2 linked regions of the Cricetulus griseus genome follow. The protein of the gene in region 1 interacts with the protein of each later gene in a biochemical or structural test. Links are inferred from orthologs where the notes say so. Each region holds a gene or a part of one and is shown in the gene's direction. Other genes may lie near its edges.

The links.
Region 2: of the proteins of H1-5 (region 1) and Ccne1, one has a biochemical effect on the other in vitro, tested with the Homo sapiens proteins (4 studies listed by BioGRID). The link is inferred for Cricetulus griseus from reciprocal best matches to the Homo sapiens genes H1-5 and CCNE1.

Annotation. Positions count from the first base shown.
Region 1 is NC_048596.1:244,135,870-244,138,627, reverse strand, and holds H1-5 (histone H1.5), read left to right. Parts: upstream 1-1,290; 5' UTR 1,291-1,362; coding exon 1,363-2,031; 3' UTR 2,032-2,092; downstream 2,093-2,758. UniProt on the Homo sapiens protein: Histone H1 protein binds to linker DNA between nucleosomes forming the macromolecular structure known as the chromatin fiber. Histones H1 are necessary for the condensation of nucleosome chains into higher-order structured fibers.
Region 2 is NC_048602.1:241,806-245,608, forward strand, and holds the end of Ccne1 (G1/S-specific cyclin-E1), read left to right. Parts: intron 1-532; coding exon 533-679; intron 680-1,219; coding exon 1,220-1,315; intron 1,316-1,516; coding exon 1,517-1,651; intron 1,652-1,879; coding exon 1,880-1,991; intron 1,992-2,091; coding exon 2,092-2,249; intron 2,250-2,632; coding exon 2,633-2,755; 3' UTR 2,756-3,267; downstream 3,268-3,803. UniProt on the Homo sapiens protein: Essential for the control of the cell cycle at the G1/S (start) transition.

The DNA of each region.
Region 1 (2,758 bases):
ATAGTAAGCTTCACCTTCTCTCCTAGAGCAAACTTCACCACCCCCTTTCTCTTTCCATTGCTTTATTTTTCTCAAATTCTTTGAAACTCTAATTGCCAGGCCCTTAATAATATTCTAAAATATTGCCCATCTTGGCATCTCAATATACAAAAAATACCCATATTGGCATTGACTACTTAAGAGCATGCCTGATTGTCCTGCTTGCTAAATGTTCTGAAATTCTCACTGGTCATCTCAACCAACTACATTTGAGGACTGGAGGGTCACTCTAATAATTTCCTGAAAGTTTTAAAATTTTCCTCACGCAAATTATCTTTAGTTAGTATTTTCTGTCTTCAGATACCATTAGCAACTAACAAAAGCAAGTCAGATCCATATCTAATTTATTTTGACTTAGAAGTAAATTGGTTTGCCTCTGAAGGTAGTGACTTCTTTTTAAATATTTGAGTTACTTTTTAAAGCTTTATGTGTATGAGGTTTTGTCTCCATGTGTATATGTGCACCACTTACTTGCCTGATAATCCGGAGAATTGAGAAGAAAGCCTGAGATACTCCGGGGCTGGAGTTACAGACAGTTGCAAGCTGCCCTGTGAGTGCTGGGAAACTAAAGCAGACCTGCAAGAGCAGTAGCTGCTCTTACCTGCCAATCCATTGCCACAACTCTTAAAGTCAATGATTTCTAAACTCCCGACTTCAAAGAAGAAAGTTTCACAATGGAAAAATTTTCAATCTCCATTAAAGATAGCAATGTGCAGAAAGTACGAGAAGCCGGACCTATTTTAAAGAGAAATATCTAAAATGTTTAATTTCAGTCTGCCGCCAGCCAAACCTGTGTTATTTGCTACAGTCAGAAACAAAGTTTGTGACCAAACCAAAAAAGATATTTCTTTTACTCTTGCAAAAATTAAAGGCGGGACTTGTGGACAAATCCTTTTAAGTAATGTTCCTTGCATACTTCGTATACGTTTATGGAAATATGCAAGTAACTATCAGGATGTCCTCTCCTTTGAGGATTCTTCTGAAACACTGGAGGGATTTAAAAAAAAATATCTTTAGTCTGTTGATTGTGATTCAAAAAAAGCACACATAGGTATGTGAACCCGAAGGCTGTTCTCCTTTGGAACACCAAACTGCCAATTTCTGCGCCCTTATTTTCAGTAGTAAGTAAAAATTTGGGGACTAACAAACACAATTTGGGATTCTAACCTTGTTTCGCGCGGCCAAAGGGCGGTGGATTGGACGCTCCACCAATCACAGCGCAGCTCTGGCTTATATAAGCCCGGAGTCGGAGCTAAGGAGCACAGCAAAATTTGCTCTTTGAGTTAGTTTTCCTTTGCTTTTATTGTAGCTTACAATCTCGCCATGTCTGAAACTGCTCCTGCCGAAACTGCTGCTCCGGCTCCTGTGGAGAAGTCTCCCGCAAAGAAGAAGGCGACCAAAAAGGCTGGCGCAACGAAGCGCAAGGCCACCGGTCCCCCGGTGTCCGAGCTCATCACCAAGGCTGTGTCTGCCTCTAAGGAGCGCAGTGGCGTGTCCCTGGCCGCGCTCAAGAAGGCTTTGGCTGCAGGTGGCTACGACGTGGAGAAGAACAACAGCCGCATCAAGCTGGGGCTCAAGAGCCTGGTGAGCAAGGGCACCCTGGTGCAGACCAAGGGCACCGGCGCCTCCGGCTCCTTCAAGCTCAACAAGAAGGCGGCTTCCGGCGAGGCCAAGCCCAAAGCCAAGAAGGCAGGCGCCGCCAAGGCTAAGAAGCCTTCAGGTTCCACCCCGAAAAAGCCTAAGAAGGCTGCGGGGGCCAAGAAGACCGTGAAGAAAACTCCAAAGAAAGCAAAGAAGCCTGCGGCCGCTGGAGTGAAGAAAGTGGCCAAGAGCCCTAAGAAGGCCAAGGCAGCTAAGCCTAAGAAGGCAGCCAAGAGCCCGGCAAAGCCCAAGGCTGTGAAGCCAAAGGCAGCCAAGCCTAAAGTTGCCAAGCCTAAGACAGCTAAGCCTAAAGCTGCTAAGGCGAAGAAGGCTGTTTCTAAAAAGAAGTAGGTTTGCTTCTAATAGCAACCAAGCCCCAAAGGCTCTTTTCAGAGCCACCCAGAGAGCTCGGTGAATGTAGCTGTACACTGACCTAACCCTCTAAGTCCCGCCAACTACCTGAACCATCTGGGTGCCACAGTGGAATTCAGGTAACACTAGCACGGAGTACTCCTGCCCTCACGTACTGCTGAGTAGTTGCCATGTCCACGCGGGCACCCGCCTTTTTCCTCACTGTGCGCGCTCCCCCCCCCCCCCCCGGCTAATCCTCCCACTCCCATCCCGGACTAGTAGGTCTTGTCCTTTGCGCGCGTCTATCTTTACCCTCTGTTCTGTGAACACATTGTTCGTCAGGAATGTAGCTCTCCAGAGTTCACTTAGACTGCAGTTAGCTTTTCATAACTGAAAAATCAACGCGCGGCGCGAAAAGAGGCCGAATTGATTGGCTGTACATAATCGTATTTCCTAACCCAGTTGCATCATGGTTTTGTACCAACCTTGCCTCGATTGGACAGCCAGTCGATGACGTTTGGAGAGTCACTCCACTCAATTGCCGCAACTCATTTACAGCTAGTGTAGAGACTACCCTGCACCCTTCACTTTATCAAGTTGCCTTTTCTTCCTAGTATTAGGGCCCTCGAAGTCAGCTCCTTACCGGAAGGAGTTTTTAAGAAGGCGGTGACGCAGTCGCAGAAGGACCATTAGTGTAATCGTAGCCATAAGTAGAGTATATGTACAA
Region 2 (3,803 bases), on another chromosome or scaffold:
GCTATGGAGTCAAAGGTAACTAAACTTCTACCTCCAACTCCCAAGTAGAATTAGATGTGTATATCATAACCGACAAGCACCATTAACCATTGAGCTGTTTCTCCAGCCCCAGAATCTGCCTTCTTGTTCCTAGTATCTTCTAGAAATGCTTTGAGTGCAGAGTGGACCTCTGAGTTCCAGGCCAGCCTGGTCTATAGAGCGAGTTCCATTTCAAGCCAGGGCTACCTAGTGAGGCCATCTTAAAAAGGAAATGTACTGCTCAGTTGTGAAGAAATACACTAGTTCTTTCTTTGAGTCACAGTGAAGCTTGCAAAGGGGGTTGCCTTTGAGCACTGTGGACTTTGAGGGGTGGGGACTGGTCTAAGAAAATGCCACTTGGGGCAGACTGAGCCTGTCTGGTTTGCTCTCACTGTTGTGTGGGTCACAGCATTCCCAGTCAGAAAAGCCGTCAGCATTCTTACTATGTCAGACCTCAGGAAGTTTGCTTCTGCTGTGCCCCAAGAAGCTGTTCTAACACGGATCCCTCTTCCAGGTGTGCGAAGTCTATAAGCTTCACAGGGAGACATTCTATCTGGCGCAAGACTTCTTTGATCGTTACATGGCATCACAACAAAATATACTGAAAACACTTTTACAGCTCATTGGGATTTCAGCTTTATTTATTGCTTCTAAACTTGAGGTAAACTCACTATCCTTATTTATGTAACAAGCCTTATTTCTTCAGTTCTGCCAACTATTGGTCATATGTATCATGAATCCTAACTCAGAGGCTTCTAAAGTTAAGGTACATGTTGGGAGGACAGACATGAACCAGCCAAGAATAAAGACAAGGAGAAAGTGCATAGACCATTTAGATTAGATTGATATTTGAACTTGGAACTGAAAAGATTGAAATTTGGGCATAGTGGTTCCCACCTGAACTCCTAGCACTTGGACAGCTGAGGTAGAACAATGGGGACTTTGAGGCCCGCATGGCTAGATGGTTATATAGAGTGAGCAACAACTTTAAGGTTCTGTTTATTCATGAGTCCATTTATTTGTGGAGCACCCCGCCCCCCATAATGTGTTTGGGGTTAATGAAGTGAACCTGTGTGAAGCCTTTCAGTAATCCTCTTTCCATGTCAGTCAGCATGCTAGAATCATTTTGGATGCACGTCCTAAACTCAAACTGCCAGGAACGGATTCTCTCTAATAGCATCTTCCTTCTGTTCCCTTTTAGGAAATCTACCCTCCAAAGTTGCACCAGTTTGCTTACGTTACAGATGGCGCTTGTTCCGGAGATGAAATTCTCCAGATGGAATTAATGATGATGAAGGCAGGTTACACATTAATACCTCTGTCTCTCTCTGTGTGTGTGTAAGAGAGAGACTTCAACTAAGTGTGTACACCTATCTTTCTCATTCAGGGTGTGGGTGCACCCAGTGGGTCTTCTCCAGCTAGGCATGTGGTGGCGGGGACTAAGGCTGCATCTTTTGGACTTTTCACAACTATCATCCATTCATCTCTTTCCCCTTAGGCCCTTAAGTGGCGTTTAAGCCCAATGACCATTGTGTCCTGGCTGAACGTGTATGTCCAAGTGGCTTATGTCAATGACACAAGCGAGGTGCTACTGCCTCAGTACCCACAGCAGGTCTTTGTGCAGATTGCTGAGGTAGGTGGACTTTGTGCTGAGAGAGAGAGAGAGAGAGGGAGAGAGAGGGGGGGTGGGGGGAGAGAGAGGGAGGGAGAGGGGGGAGAGAGAGAGAAAGAGGGGGGGAGGGAGGGAGGGAGGGAGGGAGGGAGGGAGAGAGTGTTGGGGGGAGGCGTGTACACCCCAGCTCACCAGGGGCTTCTAGAAGCTCTGTGTGGCATCTGTCTAAGCATCCCTGTCTTCCCTTAGCTTTTAGATCTGTGTGTCCTGGATGTCGGCTGCTTAGAATTTCCTTATGGTGTCCTTGCTGCTTCTGCCTTGTATCATTTCTCCTCCATGGAACTGATGCAGAAGGTTTCAGGTATGTCGCTTTTTCCTGCGAGTTCACAGACGAGGTGTCTACACACACAGACCCGCTGTGAGCTGCAGACTGAGCCTCTAACTAACCTCTTTACTGGCAGGGTATCAGTGGTGCGACATAGAGAAATGTGTCAAGTGGATGGTTCCGTTCGCCATGGCCTTCCGGGAGGTGGGAAGCTCCAAGCTCAAGCACTTCCGGGGAGTTCCCATGGAAAACGCCCACAACATCCAGACCCACGCCAACAGCTTGGATTTGCTGGTCAGTGACGCCCTCGCTCCCGTCAGACAAGTGCTTAACCCATCTTGCCCGAACAACCTCGCTTTTCTTAAGGCAGGCCCCAGGGAGCCCAGGAAAAGCTAGTTCTCCTAGTCGCATATGAATGTTTCTGGTCCTCTGTCTGGGTACCTGCAGACCCTAGACTTGAGGTGGTAGGGACAAGGTCTTACTAGATAGTCCAGGCTGACCTAAAACTCAAGTCTTTGGTCTCTGCTCCCAAGTGGTAGGATTTACAAGTCTGCCACCATGCCTAACTTTAGATTAGTTTTTACTTTTGTTATTTCTCCCTCTGGCCTCCATAGTAAAAGTGCCCATCAAGTGAAACAACGCTTTATATTGACAACTATTCCTTTTATTCCATGTAGGACAAAGCCCAGGCAAAGAAAGCCATATTGTCAGAACAGAACAGGATCTCTCCTCCTCCCAGTGGGGTCCTGACACCCCCACCCAGCAGTAAGAAGCAGAACAGTGAGGAGGAGACAGAATGAGCAAACCTGCCAAAGACAGTGTTGTGGAAGCGGCTGCCTGGAGCTCCTTTGCTGCCTAGGAGGTTGGGAGCCCCTGCTGATGCTCTGCGGAAAGGCGTATCTCTTCCAGAGCAGCGGGCGTCTTCAAAATGGCCTCGGACAGAAGTGCTTGTATGGAATGCTAGTTGTTTTAACAATAGGGTTGAGGACACCAGCCACCTCCAGAACGCCGCTGAGTGCTCCAGAAGCTGCTAAGGAGGGTGCTACTTGACCCACTGGACTCTTCACACATGACAAAAGCTTGAAATTAAGGAGGCCACGGTTGCTGCTGGCCTCTGCCCGGGTGTTTGGGGTTGCTGTTGTGTTGGGTGGGACAGGTGGTTGTGAGCAAGCATGGGATGCCGAGCCCACAGCCTGGGCCAGGCCGACCGTTTCCACTGTCAGCTGACAGCATGTCCTGCCTTTCATGAACTCTTGGTTTGTAAGTGCTGCTATGTCTATCCATTTTTAATAAAGAGAATACTATCTTTGAAGCAGCTGTCTTTACTGGAACAAGCTAGAAGTTGCCTTTCAGAATGGCTCTACCAGTTCTCTTGGCTTCTTGTTTTTCTCTCTCTCCAAGACAGGGTTCTCTGTGACTTTGGAGACTGTCCTGGCACTCTCTTATAGACCAGGCTGGTCTCGAACTCAGAGATCCTCCTGCCTCCCGAGTGCTGGGATTAAAGGGGTGCTCCACCAATGCCTGGCTGCCCTCATAATTTTTGAGACAGTCTTAAAGTGCAACCCATGCTGGCCTAGAGCTGGCTGTGTAGCCTAGACTTCTGCAACTCTTCTCCCACAATACCCTGGGCTAGGTGCTATTCACACCAGAGTCGTCAGCAGGGGTAGGCTCTGCTAGTGAAGCCATTCCATACCCCAGGAATTTCATTAATGTAATCTCTCCATGGTGGCCTACATTTGTAATCCTAGCACTGAGGATACTGAGGCAGGAGAGAGATCAAAACAGCCTGGGCTACATAAAAAGACCCTATGTTACACAAAGAAGCAGTTATGTTTTGTGGTTTGTTTG